Linked DNA regions of Canis lupus familiaris. The protein of the gene in region 4 interacts with the protein of the main gene of each other region in a pairwise test. Links are inferred from orthologs where the notes say so. Each region holds a gene or a part of one and is shown on either strand. Other genes may lie near its edges. The genes, in order: FHL3, ZMYND19, STK16 and SAXO1.

Region 1 (4,938 bases), on a different chromosome or scaffold from region 4:
AGGCAGGGACTGGTGCAAAGAACTTGGGAAATGCTGGCTCCTATTAAGGCTGTTCAGCAGAGATACAAGCCATGAGGAAACACTAGAGACCCCAACTCTACCTTTGATCCAGCAGCTTCCTTAGTCATACCCCTCCCTCTCTGAAAGCTGCTCATCTTTGCTCTCCCCTCACCTCAGAGCCCTTCCCAAGGCAAGGAGCCTCCTACACCTAGATGACAAAGGCCAGAGAAAGGCTCACCCATGCGCTGGCTGGTCACTCCCTGGACTCCAGGTAGCAGGTACCTGAGGTCCAAACTGGGGTGGGGAGGAGTTGAAACTGAAGCAGCGTCTGTCATTCATTCATTCGTTCAATATTTATTATATGGCAGACATAGGAGTAGGTACTGGGAATGTGGTAGTGAACAAGAAGAACCCAGTCCTGCCCTCATGGCCTCATGACAATCTAGGCATTAGGAACAATAACCAAGCAAATAGTTTAATTTGGGGAGGAAACCTGGCCTCGACGGTGACTTGGGATCCGGGAAGACAGGAATATGATTTAGAGATGGGAGAGGAAGGTATTCAGGAGGCCTGGCCTGGGAGCAAATGAGTCTCTGTTCTGAGAGCTTGGCTAGACCCAGCCTGGGGGATGGGAGAAGCCCTGTGGCACCTGAGTCTCTACTCTAGATGCTGAGGTTATTTCTAGAGTCAGTTTGTTGTCTCCTGTTTTGCAAACAGTACAGCACAGCCTCCTCCTCCCTTCCCCACCCTTCTAGATCGAGGCTATTTATGCCTAGTGACAAGCCTGAGGATCCCAGGGGGATTGGCCCAAGGACCTGGAGGGGCCTTGTGTCCCTGGCAGGCAGCAGTCCTCCCTCCTGGGGCGCAGGGAGAAAGCCAGAGGATTGGAAACTGTAGAGGTGGGGGAGGAAGGGTTCCCTCCACTTCCCTCCACCAACCCTGCGGTGCCCCATCCGCGCACACTCTTCACACCCCTCCCTGAGAAACCCAAAAACCATGGGGCCAAGGATTAGGGTCTCCCCTGGGCCTCAAAGGTCATAACTATTCCTGGGCACTGTGGAAACCCAAGGCCGAACTTCTCTGTCCCAGGGTGCCTCCGGAGGTGAGGAGGTGGGGGGTACTTCTGTTTTTGCCACTCAAAAGTTGTGAAATCATTGAAGGTCAAGGCCCAGTCTGGGGTCAGGCGGAGGCGGAGGTGGGGGGGTCCCTTCTTCACTCCCTGTTTCCAGAGAACACCTTGGTTCCCATTGATAGGGAGGGCCGTGACAGCAGAGTCAAGCCACCTCACACACACACACTCCCGGGCCTCCAGGCTTGATTAAGGCCCCTTTACAAGCTGGGTCTAGGTGTGACCCTGAGGGGATGAGCTGGAAGGTGGGAGTGGGGGCGCACGAAGAGGCCATGAGTGAGGACCCCAGGGGACTTGGGTGGGCTGGGTGCCGGCCCCCGTGCTGGAGATCGAGTGCAGCAGGCCGTCTCCAGCGGGCTGCTGGGGGGTGCAGGGGGTGCAGCAGGGGAGGGGACGGCGGAGGCGAGCAGGGGACGGGGGCGGGGTCCCGGCGCCGGGGAAGGTCGGGCGAGCCAGGTTAGACCCGCGGGCCCGAGGGGGGGTGTGGGCGGGGTCTGGCCCCCGGCCTGGGGGTGCGGGGCGGGGGCGGCCGGGGGCGGGGTCCGGGCGGGGCGGGCCCGGCGCGCACTTCCTCGGGGAGGGGTTGGGGCCGCGCTCCACTCGCCCGCTGGGTCCGTGCGCTCCGGCAGCGCCGCCGGCCGCCCGCTCGCCCCGCTCGCCCCGCTCGCCCCGCCCGCCCCGCCCGGCCCCGCTCGCCCGGCCCGCAGGTACGAGCCACCGAGGGACGCGCGGCCCGGCCTCCCCGCTCCCGCCGCCCGCTCCGAGGTGAGCTCCCGCCCAGGCCGGCTCCTCGCCCGGGGCCCCCCGACGCCCCGGGGGGCGCGCTTGGAGCGGGGGGCGCCGAGCCCCGGAGGGCGCCCCCCCACCCCCGGGACCGCCCCGATCCCGGCCGCCCGGCGGGGTGGGGGGGGCTGCTCGACACCTGGGGATGGGGGGGGAAGGGGCCAAGTTTGAAACGGAGAAGCCAGAGTCGAGCGCGGGACCTGGAGGGTTGGGGAAACTGAGGCTCCCTGAAAGCCGGGCGGAGCCAGACCAAGACGCGGGCCCGCGCGGCAGGCTTGGACAGGGGGCTGCACGGGGACCCGAGTCAGGGAGTCAGGGACAGGTTCTGGGGGCGTAGAGTCCCCGAGAGGGAGACCGGAGGCGTCTGGACGGACCTAGGTTTTGTGGGTTGGAGCACTCGAAGGAGAAGCGTCCCCTGACCCCGGTGAACACGGAGCAGCGCCCTTCCCAGGGCTTTGCAGGGTCCCGGGCGGTGAGGGGCCCCGAAGCCTAAGCTTCCTTAGCCCTGTGGCAGATCAGCCTCTGTGAGGCCTATGGAGCCGTCCAGAAACTGCAGACAGGGACGCTCAGGAACAGAGGTGCTCCGAGGAGGAAGCGAAGGGGTCGGGGTGGGAACCCCTTGGAGGCACTCAGTTACGGAGATTTGGGTGTACAGAGGTAGAAATGAGCAGAGGTCACTAGCCCGGGACACAGGTCCCCAAAACACGAAGACAGCTGAGGTGTGCAGAGGCTCAGTCGCGCTGCGTGGGGCGCAGCTGGCTTTGCTCGAGGCGCCCTGACAGCTTCCCAGACAGACCCCGAGACACGGAGGCCTGAGAAAGACTGGGAAGCAGGGGTGCGGGGAAACAGAGACTCTGGGCCAGCCAGAGCCCCGTGAGGCAAGGACCTGAGACAGGCACGTCGGAAAGGAGCCCCAGGCACACACCAAGACAGCCCCAACTTATTTTTAAACTCAAATCATGGACATGCTGCTTCAGCCCTGGGGGACCCGGGGTGAATGAACTGTTCCTCTCCTGTCCCCAAGGCAGCTGCTGGATCCCGCTTCCCGCCCTCCTTCCCCTAAACTGCTCTGACTCCCAGGCCCCATGGCGGGGAGGGGTGGGGAGAGGGAGAGTTTGGGGTTGGTGCCTGATACCGGAGGTTGGGGGCTGGGGGGGGTTAGGTTTCTCCCCTTAAATCTCCTGTCAGTTCCTGGGAGCTGGGAGGAGGGGTCTGATCTGATCCTGACTCACAGCTGTGAGGCCTGGCCAGGGTCCTCCCCGACAGTGCAGGGTGGATGGGGGCAAAGGAGTTGAACGGTTGGCATGGGCAGTTGGAAAGGCTTCTGGGTGCCTTCCAATGGCAGGGTTAGCAGCTGGGGGAGAAGAGTGAGACTCCTGTGCTAGTGATGTCACCGAGTATCTCCCACACCCCTGCTCTTAAAATGTTGACCACCCCGTTTTGCCACCGCTGCAGCATTTTTAGAGAGAAAAACAGGAAAGGGCTCCAGGCTGGGAAGCAGGGAACCTGGGCTCTCCGAGGCCTGAGTGACCTTGGGCCTGGCTTGTCCCTGTGCTCGACTGTAAGATGGGAATGACATGCTCTTCTGCCTGCCTTTTGGGAGATCTGGTGAAATAGTGGATGGGATTTCTCTTTATGGGAGGCCAAGCAGCATGCAGGTGTGTACACCTGTGTACCTGTGTGAGGGGTCTCAGGAGTTATGCTCATTGGCACCAGGCCGGCCCCACTGATCTCCTCAGGCAGCCCCACGGCCTGGGCTTCTTCACTTCCCCTAGTGGAACTGGGGAGTGGGGGTGGGGGTCCCTCTTTGGTCTATCCCTGAATCTACCCTGAGAATGTCCAGGTCAAAACCCAGGCCAGCTCCCTGAGCCAGGCCTGGCTCAGAAATTTGTCTGACCCCCGTATGAGTGAGGGGCTGATCATAAAAACGCCCACAGCTACCATTCACTGAGGAGTCCCTTTCTGCCAGGTGCTTTCCAAGCACCACCATTTCAGCCTGACGACAACCCCGGGAGAAGGGGGTAGGCGTAGAGGAAAACAGGCCCAGGAACCTTAAGTGACTTGCCCAAGATCACCCAGCTAGTAAGGGAAGAAGTCAGGATGCCCACCCCAAGCCACATTTGGGCCTACTATACACTGTGCCACAGCCATTTATCTAGCCATTCTAACCTCTGGGAGGCTCACTGGAAGGTGCCAGATGTGTGTGTCAGGTGTAGGGGTGGTGTGTGTGTGAGTGTGTGTTTGTGTGTGTGTTGAGGACAAGAGTTGAGAGCCATTTGGCAGACTGAGCAGTCTCCTCCGTAACCCCCCCTCCCCAGGCCATGAGGGAATATAAGACTGGTTCTCTTCAGTTCTCTTGCTGTGCCAGGGAAAGTGGGAGGGAGGGGAGGAAGGGGGATGGGCAGGGACAGGTGGGTCTCCATAGTGCCCTTCACTCTGTCCTCATTAGAGCCCAGCTGGACAAACTAGGGGACTGGGGGATTCTGGGAAAGAAACAGAAGCCATGCCCATACCCTATTTGGGGTGCCCCTGTTTCAGAGTGATGACTGCCTCCCAGAGGGTGGCCCCAGGGCTACCCTGGGCCCGGGAAGGTGATGGCTGCTGTGTGCCAAGCCAGAAAGGAAGGAAAAGATTTGGGGCACTCCCCAACGGACCACGGCCACACACTCCACCTGTGTGGCCCCCTGCTGCCCAGTGGCCCACAGCCCAGGCAACCCTCAGATGTTGGGCCAGAGGAAACCCAGGCCTGATTGGCGGGGAGCGGATGGAGAAAGAGGGCTGCCCTCTACCCCACAGCATAGCCCTGCCCCAGAATCACCTCTCTGAAGACCCCAGCCCCTGGAGGCCTCGTGGCCTGGCCCGGGATCGGAACTCTGTGTTCCCCCCACTCCGTGGTACAGAAGGGCAGCTTGGAGTTCACAAACCATCCCTTCAAGAGCCAGGCCCTCCAGGCTTGGGGCGTTTGCTGGCGCCTGGAGTCTGAACTCCAAGCCAGAGCAACGCTTCTTGGCCAGAATTTCCCACTG
Region 2 (4,862 bases), on a different chromosome or scaffold from region 4:
AGTGTGCTAATGAATGCCAAATTTATACCCCAGGCTGGACTGCTCCCTTGAACTCTATCCTCATACAGTCAACTGCTTGGCAGCCTGAATGCGTAGCATGAACAAGAAATTCATGTTTATTTTGCTAAGCTGCTGAGAACATAGGATTGTTACTGAAGCATAAACAGGTTTAAGCGGACTGTTACAGAAGACTGGCCCCGCACGTCCAAACACCACCATCACCCCCTGACTAGCTGCTGTATTCACTGGCTCCACAGCCTTCCTGCTTCCAGTCTTCCCCCTAAACTACTGTACCCCTCAGCCAGCCTGGCTCATGGAAAAGCTGCTCTATTCAAATTCTCCAACCGCCTCCCTTTGCTAAGTATAGAAATCAACGTTCTTCTAAGAGCCTACTAACCACCACCCTTGGCTCCCACATCTCTAATCTTCAGCCCTGTTCCTGTCCTGAACTCCTGTCTGGTCACAGCGGACAATCCCACTTTTCCCAACATCCCAGCCCAGGGCCCTGTGGCCAGCTCTTCCCCCAGATGCCCACATGGTGCTCTCTCCACTCCTTACACTGTTCAAGTCCATGAGTCAATGGGGCAGAGCCTGCCCACCACCTTCCTTAGGCCCCTAGCCTCCTAATGCTGCTCTCCTGGTTTCCCCCACTGCCTTTATCACTCATCACGGGCCGTTCTGATTTGCACTCCCGGGTACTTTCAGTGGGAGTGCGGGCGGCGGGGTGGTTGCTAGGTAACAAGGGCGGCGGCCCCCGAGTGTCCTCCCGCCCCGAGCGCCCTCCAGCCTTCAGGTCCTCCCGCCCTAAGCGCCCAGCAGGAGCGAGCGGAGGGCAGAGCGGCCGCGGGCCCATCACCGCAGCCCGGTTCACGGCCCGACCCGCGGGGAAGGCGGCGGCGGCCCGAGCGCAGGCAGTGCGGGGGAGACGGGCCCCGTTGGCACAGGGGCGGTGTCCAGGGAGGGAGTAGGGCGGCCCGCGCCCCTCGCCCCTCGCCCCTCGCCCGCCGTCCCGCGGGTGCGGAGCCGTTTACCGGGAGCCGCAGCGAGTTCCGCAGGACCCTTCGGGCCGCCCCTCCGCGAGGGGGCGGCGCGTGGGTTCGGGGGCCAGGGGCAGGGCCGCGGCCGGGCGTTGGGGCCGGCGCCCGGCCTGAGCCGAGGGCGGCCAGCGGGGAGCAAGACGCCGCAGCGCGGCCGCCAGCACAAAGCTTCCCGCGAAACTGACGTAGCGCGGGGCGGCCGCGCAAGCGCCGCCCTCGGCCGCGCCCCTCCCCCGCGCTCCCACTGCTCCTCAGTGCGCCGGCGTACTTCCCCTCCTCCCATTGGCCACGGCGCGGCGGCGCGCGCAGGCCGGCGCGGGGCGCACCCCGCGATTGGCGGGTCGGCGGCGGGCGGGGGTGTGTCCGCGTCGCACCCCGCCTCCGGCTCCGCTCGCGGTGGTGCGCGCGGCGGCGGCGGCGGCGGCGGTGGCGGCGTCGGCGGCGGTGGCGCGTGGCAGGTCCGGCGGGCCCGAGGCGGCGGCGGCCCGAGCCCGGCCCAGCCTCGTCCCGCCTGGCCCCGACCCCGGCCCGCCGGCCCGGCCCACCCGGCGCGCCGCGGCGCCGCCCCGGCCCGGCCCCGGCCCCGGTCCCGGTCCCGGCCCGGCGCCTCCCGAGGGAGCGGCGCCGCCGGCCGAGCGCAGGCCTGGCCATGACCGACTTCAAATTGGGTATCGTGCGGCTCGGCCGGGTGGCCGGGAAGGTGAGCGGCGCGGGGGCCGCGGGGCCGCGGGGCCGCGGGGCCGGGACGCTGGGCTGGGGCCGTGGGGTCGGGGGCTGCGGAGCCGGGCGGGCGGGCGGGCGGGCGAAGGGTCCCCGCGGGCAGCACAGCGCCCTTCCGAGGCGGCAGGACGGTGTGCGTGCGTGTCGGCGCCCGCCAGCCCGTCGTGGAGCCTCGCGCGGGGTTCACGCTGCCGGCGCTGGCCGAGTGCGGACGGGCCTCGATGGGCCTCCCGGAGCAGGGCCTCCCTCTGCTTCTCTCCCTTACCTGGCCCCGCCCTCCGCGGGTTCGAGGCCGGGGCTTCCTGGCACCTGTGGGCATTGAGGCTTGGCTGTTTCCAGGAGCCGGCCGGCCGTGCAGCTGCTCCAGCCACGGACCTTACCCTGGATGGGAACCCTGTTCCCATCCCCAGCGGCGGCAGCTCCTGGTGGGAGACAGGAGCAGAGGCAGTCAGATGAAGGTAAAACCGACTTAGATCTTAGAAGGAGGCTCCCCGAGCAAGAATGAGACTAGTCCGTTTGGGGGGCCGTTTCCTGCCTTTCCTGCAAGAGGAATGTGGCTTTTTACCTGGGGAAGGGTGGGCTCCCCATCGGCTCTGAGACCTTTTCTTATTCAGTGACTGGTTGCATTCAGATCATCCTTTAAAACTTATTTGGAACATTTCAGAAGAAAGCTAAACAGTTCAGTGAGCACCTGTGTACTGCCACCCATCCTAATAAATAAATGTTTTCGAGGCCTTCTGTATGCCTTGTCTCACTCCAGGGCCCCTCCTCTGTTCCGAGGAAGCCCCAGTCTCAAATGAGGGTCAGCAGCACCTGAAACACAGCTTAGAGGTTAGCCAGTCCAGGGGCACTTAGGGCTTAGGCGCGTATGGATGGGAAGTGAAGCCTGATTCCTACTCCTCTGGGACAGTCTGGAGTGGGAAATGACCACCTGCCTTGGGGGTAGGGTACTTGGTGCCCCTCACCTGCTAGCCTCATTTAACCTGAAGGGGCGGTTTCTGTTACTAAAACTTTACTGTGACCCTGAATGTAACATTGCGAAACGTGGTTAATTTCCAGACGAAGTACACACTGATAGATGAGCAAGATATCCCGCTGGTGGAGGGCTACTCCTTTGAGGTAAGGATGGCTGTTTCTCTGTGGGCCTGCTTTCAGCCAATGCTTGAGGAGGGTCAGGAGGAATGGGTTTTACCCTGTGTTGTTGGTTCTCTCCCACTTTCACCCTGGTGCAAGTAGATCACATTGTGTCGTGTTTGTGATGATGTTCAGTTGGATAAGCCCTGGCTCCCTAGGGGACTGTCCAAGTGCCACCTCATGTTTCTTCTGGCCTTGGCCCAGCGTTCCTCCATCCCCCATCTTCCTGAGCTCCCTTGCCTTCCACTCTTCTCTGTGGGATGAGCTTCTGTTCACCTGCCCATCCTCACCTACCGGCTCCTCCACTTCAGAAATCCTTGAGGGCTCTGTGGACCCACTATGCTTTATCTCAGCCCTTCGTGTTTTTACAGAAAGGGTGGCCCTTGAACAAGAGTTTGAACTGCACAGGTTAACTTAGATGTGGGGGGGGTTTTGATAAACATAGTCTATTACTGTAAATATATTTCATCATGACTTCTTTGAAAACGTTTTCTTTAAGAATATAGCATACGATATGTCTCACATACAAAGTTTGTGTTAATCACTTGTTTGCCTCAGTAAGGTTTCTGGTCCAGAGCAAGCTATCAGTGAAGTCTCCGGAAGTTAAAAGTCCTATGCGGATTTTCACCTGTGTGGGGGCTCTGTACCTTACCCTACGTGTTCAGGGCTTAGCTATTAGTTACTTGTTCAAGGGTTTGTTTTTCTCACTGAATTGTGGGCATTTTCTAAGAGTAGGAAAACTTGTCTCTTTATGTCTACAGTGTTTTGCAGAGTGGTTTGTGGAGTATGTTGGGATACAGGGCTGGCTTCTCATGTCTGGGAGCCTCTGCAAAGCCCGGGGTCCCAGAAAGAGGCCTCATATATTTGCTCTAACTTGTTTGTTTCACTTCACTTCTTTAATAAAGTTTGAAAATGTAGCTGAGACCTGAAGGCTTTTTAACAGACCATTTCTCTCTCAGGCCCGGATGGAAGTAGATGCAGATGGAAATGGTGCTAAGATATTCGCATATGCCTTTGACAAAAACCGAGGAAGAGGGTCAGGAAGGCTCCTTCACGAGCTGCTGTGGTAGGTGTTTATGAGCTGCTTGTTCCTCATTTGGGTACTGCATGCAGCAACCTGTCCCTGTTGACAGAGGATGTGTTATCGGAGTCATGCTCCCCCCACCACCCCTCTTGTTACCTTTGAATCATTGCCGCTAACCCAGAGGAATGGCTCATTTGTATAGCGTACCACTAATGGAGCAGTCTAAAAGTGCACTTTCTGCTCAGGCACTTGTACCGGGCATGGCTCTCTCTCTGGGGTAGGGAGGACTCTGCTCCGTCCACTGTGTTCTTGCTGAGCCTGTTGGTGGGATGTGAGGAATGGCCTGCCTCCTCGTGGCGTCCACGGTGGAACTGCTGCTTGGAACTGCTCAGATGGGGTGTTCTCTAGGCTGTGTGTTTGATGGTTGGGGGCTCCATCCTTGGCTTTTTGCAGCCCAGCTCTCAAATCAAGGGGCTGAACTGTTAGCATGGTCCATCTTGTTTGACCACAGACTGACTGACATACTTGGATTCCTCTCAGCAGCCTTGTTCCTGACGCTCTCTGTCAGTGTGGCGAAGGGCCAGTTCAGATCCCACAGCTGAAGTATTTAGGGAGGCCTGAGGTGGCCGATTGCAAGACTTGTCTGTTTCCTAGGGAGCGGCACAGGGGAGGCATTGCTCCCGGCTTTCAGGTGGTACATCTCAATGCTGTGACTGTGGACAACCGCCTGGACAACCTGCAGCTGGTGCCATGGGGCTGGCGTCCCAAAGCAGAAGAGACATCCAGCAAACAAAGGTGGGTCTCATTCAGGGCCTGCTGAAGCCAGTGGAGGTGCCTCTGGGGGAAAGCCCTCCTCCAAGCCCTTGTGTTTTTATTTCTTAAATATTCTATTTATTAGAGTGTGCAAGTGAGCAAGAGCCGGGGGGTCGGGGGGTAGAGGGAGAGGG
Region 3 (5,145 bases), on a different chromosome or scaffold from region 4:
CGCTAGAGATGCCTCTTTCAGAAATGCAAAGAGGTCCCGGCTGCCATTAAAATTATAGACCCCAGGCTCTGGCTCATGGTAGTTCCAGGGCACGTAACTGAGAAAGAAAAAGGTTAACAGGGCCCAAGGCGGGAGGTGCTGGAGAGGCCTAAGGGCTCAGGCCTTGCATGGAATCTCCAGGAAGCTGTTGGAAGGAGGTCCTGGCCCACCCTTTCCCACCCTTGGCCTGGAAGCCCTGGAGCTCTCATACCCAGCTAGTCCTCCTGTCCCAATCCCCTTTTGACGGGGGGTGGTAGGAAGAGTAAATCCCACCCTCCATGGCTTGTCCTGAGCACTGCTTACAACTGTACAGTGTTGAGGCCACTCATTCGCATCTTGAAAAGCCGGTCTGCCCAAAGCACCCGTGGTACCCGAAAGTAGTGTAGGCTGCCAGACACGTAGCGGAACGGGGCCCCATCTAGAAGGAATCTGTCATTTATCCGATCCACTATGAACGACCGATTGTCTGCCTGCAAAGAGAGAGCCCGGGGTCAGCAGAGGCCTGGAACAGAGGGAGGGGTCAGAGTCTGCAGAGGAGATGGAACTAGCCCAGCCTGTTGTTCTGTTATTTTCACTTTCTCTCCTGGGCTGGATCTCATCCCGCCTCACCACGCCCAGCCTGCCGATTCAATCCTGTCATTTTACCTGGGGCAGCAGCAGGGACAGAAGTGGCAACAGCAGGACGGGAAGGCAGAGCCGCTTCCTGGGAGCCATGGCGCTAACAGGGCTCCTCTATTCAGAGAGGGCGGTCCGGCTGTCACGTGGTGGATTCCTGGGAGGGAACCTCAGCGAGCAAGGGGGCGGAGACCACCTCAAGTCACCAGGCAATTAGCCTGGACTTGTCCACCCGCGCTACTCTACTAGTTTGTAAGATCCTCTACATCTTGAATCCGCTTCATCAGCATCACCTGGGAGCTTGTTAGAAATGCAGAGTCTCAGGTCCTACCTCAGACCTATTAGAATCAGAATTTGGATTTTAACAAGATTCCCAGGCGATCCGAAAGGCATTCAAGATTGAGAAGCACTGTGGTACTAAACTGAGCTCCCTGAGGGTGAAGAGTACCTTGTCCATCTTGCATCCTCAGCTTCTAGCACGGGACTCGGTACATAGCAGGTTAAATCTAGATGAATGAATGTCGGAACCAGGGGGCTAAAACAGGTTCGGAATCAATCTTCCCAGTGGTGTGAAAGTAGGAACCAAGTTATAAATGGGATTTTTTTTTTTTTCTCCTAGTGGCCCTGCTACAGCAAAAGAGACCACCTCAGCCATTCTGTCTTCTTTGGATGTCCACCGCTCTTCAATTTATCCCTGCCCTGCCTCAGCGAGAGCTGTCAAGAACAACTACCTGGGGCCAAGGCTTGGGAATTTATGAATTTCCATGACTCCTGCCTTCACAATCCCAAGCCTGGGATGTAAGGACCAGGATAAGAAAAATAGAATCATAATAAAAATAACAGCAACTTCTATTTATTGACACCAAGGCTGTGTCAGATAGTGTGCTAAGCACTTTACATCTCACTTCATCTTCAAAAAGCTCCGTGCAGTTGGTAATTATCACTCCCATTTTACCCATGAGGGAATTGAGAGGCAGAAATTTTAAATAGTCTGCTCAAGGTCACGCAGCTAGTTTAGCAGAGCTGGGAGCTGCAGCCTGGCCTCCCCGTACGGGCACCTAACCTTAGGTACTGTTAGAGCTTGTTTACAACTGGGGAAACCGAGGCTCTGAGAGGTTAAGTCGTCCAAGGTCACGCAGCTAGTAAGCTCTTAACCACTGAAACTAGGGTAGTGGGATGCAGGCCTGAGCCCCGAAGGGTGCACCGATCGGCGCTGTGGGGGTCCAGGCCGCCGGCCCCCGCCCGGCCCCCGCCCCTCGGGGCTGGACTGCAGCTTCCTACCTCCGGCATTGGGAGACGGGGGGCCTGGGGGGCCTCGGGCCGAGCCCGGCTTTGCTCCCCTTGGGCGCGGGTGCCTGCGTCCTGCCCACTACTGAAGGCCTGGTGTGGAACCCTCACCGGGTCCCGGGACCCGTGCTCCCCCGCGCCTTAGCCCGCCCCCGGCCTCTCAGCTCCGCGCCCCCACATCCTCCGGATGCCCTGCGGTTGCTAGGATACCGCGGGCCGTTACGCCGGCGCGGCCTGATGACGTAGACGCTCCTTCCGGTCCGCGGCGCTCGTCTCCGGCCGGAGCCAGGTCAGTGGGGAGTCGGGGCCGGCCCTCCCGGGGCTCTGCGCGCCGAGGCCGGGGCGGGCCCCGCCGGGTGGGCCCGGGCCTCGCCCCCACGCTCCGCGGCTGCCGAGGCGGCCCGACGGCGAGGACGCGGCCTGGGCGTCGCGGCGTGGCCCGAGGCTCCAGGGCACCCGACCTCGGCCGTGCCCGAGCCGGCGTCGCCAAGGCTCGTTTCCTCTGCGTTCCGAGGCCCGGGCGCCAGCTCTGCACGTCGGCACTTCGGGGGTCGTGCCTGGCCCACGACCCTGCCGTCCTTTGCCTTCCAGCATGATCCGCGGGGCCCCCAGCGCGTCGCCTGGAAGAGCCCCCTCAGCCCGCACGCGGCCGTCGGCAGCCCCGGACCGCCCCTGAGGAGGATGACTGAGGCGCTATGGGCCACGCGCTGTGTGTCTGCTCCCGGGGAACCGTCCTCATTGACAACAAGCGCTACCTCTTCATCCAGAAACTGGGGGAGGGGTGAGTGTTGAAATCGCCTAGCCAGCCCCCAGGGTTCTGGTGAGTGAAGGACAGCAGTCTGCACGTGATAGGGCCTCAGGAGGTTCATCCTTGTAAAGCATCCTTTAGCTCCCCTGACAGAGCCTAGCAACCCGAATGCCAAGAAAGTGGATTCTGGAGCCAGGCCTCCTGGCTCCACCTGGTGTGACCTTAAGCCGTGGTTTCATCATCTGCTTAATGGAGATAATCATCTTTTTTTTTTTTTTTTTAAGATTTTATTTATTAGAGACACACACACACGCACATGCACAGGCAGAGGGAGAAGCAGGCCCCATGCAGGGAGCCCGATGCGGGACTCGATCCTGGGTCTCCAGGGTCAGGCCCTGGGCTGAAGGCTGCGCTAAACCGCTGGGCCACCCGGGCTGCCCTGGAGATAATTATCTTTTGTCGCTGATGGAGTTGTGAGGATTAAATGAGATAGTGCATAGAAATCATCTCACCAAAAAGAGAAAAAATAATAATAATAATCTCACCCAGGGCCCGGTTCACAGCACTTGACAGATGTTGACTGTTACTTACTCATGTAACATTTCCGGAGCATTTGTCACGTGCAGAGCTGTGCATTATGACCAAGGTACCTCAAAGATTGCTGTGTTCCTACCCTTGAGCTCAAAGTGTAAAATCTTCAGACTTCTCCTGAAGCCACGTCTTGGGAGGGTTTCTGCTGACTGGGAAAGACACCCCCTCCCCTCCCCACCCAGGGAGTTCCTCTGGGTCCAAGCAGTGTGGGAGATGACCGTGGTCCTTCACTGACCCCTTTGGCCCACAGTGGGTTCAGCTATGTGGACCTAGTGGAGGGGTTACATGATGGACACTTCTACGCCCTGAAGCGGATCCTGTGTCACGAGCAGCAGGATCGGGAGGAAGCCCAACGAGAAGCAGACATGCATCGCCTCTTCCATCACCCCAACATCCTCCGCCTTGTGGCTTATTGTCTGAGGGAGCGGGGCACTAAACATGAGGCCTGGCTGCTGCTACCCTTCTTCAAGGTCAGAAAGTCTCCTGGCAATGGAGGGGCTTGCAACAGAGTCATCTACCGAGGGCTGTGTGAGTAGCCAAGCACGTTAGGAAGCAGAGACCATGTCCTGTGTTGGACCGCTTCAGATTTGGGGTTTAGGGGAACCCAAGTGGGACTGTGAGGTGTGTAGTGTGTGTGGTGAAAGAGCTGCTAGGCTGTGACACAGGGAAGGGATCAGGCTGAGGGAGCAGAGACCCAGAAAACCTGTCCAACCGTGGGGAAACTTGTGTTGCAGAGGGGTACGCTGTGGAACGAGATAGAAAGGCTGAAGGACAAAGGCAACTTCTTGACTGAAGATCAAATCCTTCAGCTGCTGCTGGGTATCTGCAGAGGCCTTGAGGCCATTCATGCCAGAGGTTATGCCCACAGGTCAGTGGGAGGGCCCAGTGTGCTTATGGGGCAGAAAGAAAGAGCCTCACCAAAAGGATTGAGTGGTCTCTGCTCTCCTCCCAAGGAACAGTCCCCATGATTCTTTTGCCCCCAGGGATTCTAGTCTCCCTATCCAGGGATGTTCATGGGCCATTTATTTCCACTTTCCTGCAGGGACCTGAAGCCCACCAATATCTTGCTTGGAGATGAGGGGCAGCCAGTTTTAATGGACTTGGGTTCCATGAATCAAGCTTGCATCCATGTGGAAGGCTCCCGCCAGGCTCTGGCCCTGCAGGTAAAAGAGTGTCCAGGTTCCTTTGCCCTCCTGTTCCCCATCCTCAGCCTTTCCTGTTGCATGCCCCAGTTTGGTCACATGACTATGACCTGTGCCTCTCTTTTGAGCTATGGGGCCACTCTTCCAGGACTGGGCAGCCCAGCGATGCACCATCTCCTACCGCGCCCCAGAGCTCTTCTCCGTGCAGAGCCACTGTGTCATTGATGAGCGGACTGATGTCTGGGTGAGGAGCATGTGGGGGGGCACATGGATGGGGAGGAGTACCGCTCTGTACCTGCTGTGCAGCAGAGGGGCAGGTCTTTGGTTTCGATTGCATGGGGCCCCAGGAACCGTGTATGTCCCCATCCCCCTCGACTTCCTTCCTGGGAACCGTCACTGACACTGTACTCAATTGCTCAGGAAGTGGTATCATTCCTCCCTTTGAACAGAATGAGTACAGCTAAGTGTCAGGACTGAAGGCAGTGGCAAGCAGGGGGTGCAGAAGCCTCCAGCTAGCTGGTGCTTTCTCTGGACCCTGGTGGTGTCATGGGGCTGAGGTCAGCCTATTCTTATTAGCTTATGTAGTCACCTTTCACTACAGAGTCCAGAGGAAAGAGATCATTTCTATTGGTCCCTTGTCAAGTAATAACCAAGTTATGTTCAGTCCCTAGGCTGCGTGCTGTATGCCATGATGTTTGGGGAAGGCCCATATGACATGGTGTT
Region 4 (4,428 bases):
TCCCAGCAGGGCCACTTTAACCTTTGCTTAACTTGAAGTTTAACTCTTGGCCTTCCAGACTAATATAACTTTTATGGCTATGCATCTATAAGAGACTTAACATCTTTGACCAATTTTTTTTCTTGGTTCATAGTCGCAAGGGGTATAGGGACTAGGTAGGGAATGTAACACAGGGAGACAAGGGAGTGTTCTTAAAAAAAAAAAAAGCTACTAAATTTGAGCAATTTCTGGGAAGAATAAAATACTTTTCTCTTACATGACCTTAAAGGCTGTAAGATTATGTGAGATTGGGGACATGCAGTTATGTTGTGGTTAATGGTCGATTTCAGTGAATGTTCTCAGCATAAAAACATAATGAGGAAACATATATTCTGATCAAATTCACTCTTAAGCCACAGTAAATACTTTGGGTGGGGTATAAATGAATTACACTTTTATTTTTTAAAGAGATTTTATTTATTTACTTGACAGAGAGAGAGGGAGAAGACAAGTGGGGGGGGGGGGTGGCAGGCAGAAGAAGAGGGAGAAGCAAGCTCCCCACTCAGCAGGGACCCTTGATTCCAGGGCCCTGGGATCATAACCTGAGCCAAAGGCAGACACTTAACTGACTGAGCCATCCAGGTGCCCCATGAATTACACTTTAAATTTAAAACTTTACCACTCTAGAAATAGATCACCCCCCTACCCCGACCCCAACTCCCACAAAGATCATTTGCTTAATTTGTTGATCAGTAAATACAACCATAAGTGTACTTTCACAAAGAAACTTGAATTTTGTACCAGAAAGGGAGATTTAGTTAACAGTTTCACTTTTTAAACACAGTGAGCAAGGGTTTTGCTTTATCAGTTCTTGTCTTTGAATAACCAACTTCAGGATAGCCCACGGGGCTGGTGAGTTTGGTTGGCATTTACCTACTCTTTTCCTATGGAGATGGCAGGAAATGCATTAAGCAGGTTTTTGTTGTCATTGAGCTTGGTGGGCCTTGTAGAAAGGTTCTTACATCCTCTCTGAGGGGGAATTAGATTCCCTTACTAGCAATAATGGCAGAAAAGGAGGTCTCTGTGCGAAGGGTCCCAAAGCATGGCAGGCCTGTGACTGGAAGGCACTACTGGCCGTTTTGGGGTTGGGAGTACTCTGTAGGGCAGCTTGGACGTTCAACTCTGTTCTTCTTTGCTTGCCTTAGATATCTGTTGATAATCCTCGGAAATGAAGAGGGCTGAACCCTTGAGTTGCCATCAGCGAACACAGGTTTATATGGGGATGTGTGGTCCCAGGCTGTCTCCACCCCTTTTTGGAGTGAGGAGAGCTCACCTCTCCTTGGGAGCACACTTTCTGAGGAAGGCCACCTTGCAGCTCTGCAGCCTACGGCTGTCAGTTCCTAGTTCTCTGCTGCAACTTGTTAAGTATTAAACAGATACCAGCATGAGGCACTTGTACACTCAAAAAGAGTAGAAATATGGAACTGACCCTTGGATTCTTGTTTAGCCTGTTCCCTCCATAAGCCCCAGTTTATACAGAGTCAGCTTCCAGATGTGTCAGGTCACTCAGCTTCCTCTTGCTATTTGCCAACACGGGGCCCATGGGAAGGGAGCCCAGGCCGAAGACCCTATAACTGCTGCTGAGATATATTTTTAAATCTACTCAGAGGGAGTTACTGGGAGTTCAACTGAAGCATCTCCCATTTCCCCCTTAGAGCCCTAGAGAGACCAATTCTCCTGCTTCCTAACTCCCCCCTCCCATCCCACCAAATACTTTGGGCCCTGGTTTGGGTTTATTCACAACCACGTGTATAATTCATGCAAGACAGGTTACAGTGGAGCGTGTTACCTTTGTTAGTCAAGCATGGCTCAGTAATGCTGCTCCAGATTTTGGCAGGGAAGTAGGTTTTATTGGTGTTTGGGCCTGATGTTTTCCTGTCCGGAAACCTCCCCCTTCTCTTGGCGAGGTTGTTTTGGCAAGCACCATCAGGGAAAATCTCCCTTCCACTTGTCCAGTTGGATGAATGGGTTCCAAGCAAAAACAGGCTGTTGTGTAAATCAGAAGCCCTTGAGGGGAAATGTTTGCTTAAAAGAGTTTGCATTTGAACAGTGGGGAGTCAAGACTGCCTTGGGAGACAGTGCAAGCCCAAGCTGAGCCCTGGCTCTACCAGCATCGATGCTGGTGATAGTGCAGTTAGTAGCTTGGAATTTCTGTAACTGTAGGATGTTCTGGGAAGGGAGTACTTCTTGTCTAGTTGAAGACCATCATGCTTTTTTCTGATCTATTGTTTTCATATTCCCTGAAATAATGGGAGCACTGATACCAGAGAGCTGAGACGTGAAAGACTCTGTGTCTTCATCTATTGTGCTGCCCGCTAGGTTTTCTCTAGGATCAAGTAGAGGAAGGCAATCATTATCCACAGGAGAAGCTATTGGGAGTGCAGAAGAGGAGGTGGTAGTACCTTAAAAATAAAAGTTAGCCCCCCAGTCAAGTGACTGGGTGGGGGGGAGAAGGTGGAGAGAGCAGGCACAGACAAGAGGCCTTCTGAGTGGTTCAGTATGTTTGGAGTGGAGTGTAGGCTGGGACGGAGGTGGGAGATGAGGCTGGGGAGGAAGGCAGAGGCAGGTCCAGGAAAGCTTATATACCATGATAGAAAGTCTGGCTTTATCTGGGAGATGTTTTTCAGCTGGAGAGTAAGATGATTTCATTTTGTGATCTCTCTTCAGAGAGTTTATTCTGGCTACGTTATATGGGGATTAATGTAGAAGTGGTGGGAAATGCAGCAGGAAGTCCAGGTAGTAAATTGTCACATGATTCAAGTGAGAAATGGTCAGAGTCTGGACTGAGGGGGAAAGACAAACCAATGAGATGGAGTGGGGGCTGCACTTAGTGAGTGATTATCTGGAGCAGCAACAGGACAGGTCCAGGGTGGCATCTAGGTGTCTGACTTGGGTGAGAGGGGAATGGTGGTACCCTTTGTGAAAGTGGGAAACAGAGGAGGAAGAGCAGTTAGGGGGATAGAGTAGAAGGTGAATTCTCAGCAAACGTCTGTAGAATTGGATTAAATGGAAACCCTTAAGAGCCTTCTCCTGGGTCAATGGTGTGTATTTATTTTCCTTTTAGGAGAGATTTTGGACCTCACAAAGTGTTACCTGTGAAGATCTACCAGCCTGACAAGTTCATCCCAAGTGAAGAGAACATGGATCTGCTCACAACATATAAACAGGATTATAACCCCTACCCTGTCTGTAGAATGGGCTCCATCAAGCCTCGGGACAGTAAATATCCATGTGGTGACAAGATGGAGTGTCTGCCTACTTACAAAGGTGGGGGAGAGTGCTTGAGGGGCAGCTTGGGGAAGGATAGGCTGAGCCTGTGTGCAGGTCAGGAAATGGGTTTTACAGGCACACCCTCTGAGCACAGGGGTTGGGCAAACTGCATCCTGTGGGCCAAATCTGGTCTACAAGCCTGTTTTTTTAGAGCTGGAGAGCTAAGAATGGTTTTTAAATTTTCAAATGATTAAAAAAAAATCAGACTATTATTTTAGGAAATGTGAAAATTACATGAAATCCAAACTTCGGCATTCATAAGTACATTCTGTTGGAGCACAGCCACACTCATTTGTTTACACATTATCCATGGCTGCTTCTGTGCTATAGCAGTGAATCTGAGTGGTTGTGCTGGAGTCTGTATGGCCTTAGACATTTAATATCTGGGTCTTTTATAGAAAAGATGTGCCAACCCCTGCCTTAACTTGCTGTTGGAATTCTACATTGGGGAAGTGTTTCAAGTTTAAGTTAGGTTCCAATTCTGATTGAGTGACTGATTCATTCATCCATTTCAGAAATTATGGAAACATAATGTACATATAGGAAAACATACAGATCTTAATTTTACAGACCAGTGAATTTTGAGTGAACACATTTCTTTAAACAGTGCCTAGATCAAGAAATACAACATTGATCCCATGTAGGATAGAAGGATTATGCTAATAGGCACCATGAATTAGTTTTACCTGTTTTGTATTTCATATTAATGTGGTCAATTCATTCTTTTAAAAAAAGATTTATTTATTTGGGGTGGGGAGGAAGAAAGAGAGAGAGAGAGAGAGAGAGAGAGAGAGAGATGAGAGGAGAGAGAAGATCTCAAGAGACTCCATGCTGTGTGAGGAGCCTGATGCAGGGCTCCATGAGATCATGACCTGAGTGGAAACCAAGAGTTGGATGCTTAACCCGAGCCACCAGGTGTTCCTAATTCGTTCTTTATTGAGCATCTGTTACATCACAGGCCTGGTATTAGGAGCTGTGAAGGAAGCATAATGGCCTGTGCCCTGACTTAATAGTCCTATAGGAGAGATGAGATATGGAGTGGTAGGTACAGTGAAAGCAGTGTGGCAGTCACTCTGTGGAGCACAAGCCACAGGCTGAGACCATGGGAATGGAGGCCAG

Evidence for each region.
Region 1: the proteins of SAXO1 (region 4) and FHL3 interact in binary tests that used the Homo sapiens proteins (3 or more experiments, as listed by UniProt). The two-hybrid records come from large-scale screens. The link is inferred for Canis lupus familiaris from reciprocal best matches to the Homo sapiens genes SAXO1 and FHL3.
Region 2: the proteins of SAXO1 (region 4) and ZMYND19 interact in binary tests that used the Homo sapiens proteins (3 or more experiments, as listed by UniProt). The two-hybrid records come from large-scale screens. The link is inferred for Canis lupus familiaris from reciprocal best matches to the Homo sapiens genes SAXO1 and ZMYND19.
Region 3: the proteins of SAXO1 (region 4) and STK16 interact in binary tests that used the Homo sapiens proteins (3 or more experiments, as listed by UniProt). The two-hybrid records come from large-scale screens. The link is inferred for Canis lupus familiaris from reciprocal best matches to the Homo sapiens genes SAXO1 and STK16.

What each region holds. Positions count from the first base shown.
Region 1 is NC_049236.1:4,652,986-4,657,923, forward strand, and holds the start of FHL3 (four and a half LIM domains protein 3), read left to right. Parts: upstream 1-1,807; 5' UTR 1,808-1,894; intron 1,895-4,938. UniProt on the Homo sapiens protein: Recruited by SOX15 to FOXK1 promoters where it acts as a transcriptional coactivator of FOXK1.
Region 2 is NC_049230.1:48,177,179-48,182,040, forward strand, and holds the start of ZMYND19 (zinc finger MYND domain-containing protein 19), read left to right. Parts: upstream 1-1,638; 5' UTR 1,639-1,686; coding exon 1,687-1,737; intron 1,738-2,816; coding exon 2,817-2,876; intron 2,877-3,850; coding exon 3,851-3,957; intron 3,958-4,569; coding exon 4,570-4,710; intron 4,711-4,862. UniProt on the Homo sapiens protein: May be involved as a regulatory molecule in GPR24/MCH-R1 signaling.
Region 3 is NC_049258.1:25,667,472-25,672,616, forward strand, and holds the start of STK16 (serine/threonine-protein kinase 16), read left to right. Parts: upstream 1-2,135; 5' UTR 2,136-2,230; intron 2,231-2,532; 5' UTR 2,533-2,636; coding exon 2,637-2,722; intron 2,723-3,311; exon of another isoform or gene 3,312-3,326; coding exon of another isoform or gene 3,327-3,335; intron 3,336-3,530; coding exon 3,531-3,750; intron 3,751-4,014; coding exon 4,015-4,148; intron 4,149-4,322; coding exon 4,323-4,443; intron 4,444-4,570; coding exon 4,571-4,666; intron 4,667-5,086; coding exon 5,087-5,145. Other genes in the region: GLB1L (beta-galactosidase-1-like protein), read right to left, coding at 1-97, 343-509, 685-753. UniProt on the Homo sapiens protein: Membrane-associated protein kinase that phosphorylates on serine and threonine residues. In vitro substrates include DRG1, ENO1 and EIF4EBP1. Also autophosphorylates. May be involved in secretory vesicle trafficking or intracellular signaling.
Region 4 is NC_049232.1:38,846,099-38,850,526, reverse strand, and holds part of SAXO1 (stabilizer of axonemal microtubules 1), read left to right. Parts: intron 1-3,103; coding exon 3,104-3,306; intron 3,307-4,428. UniProt on the Homo sapiens protein: May play a role in the regulation of cilium length. Stabilizes microtubules at low temperature.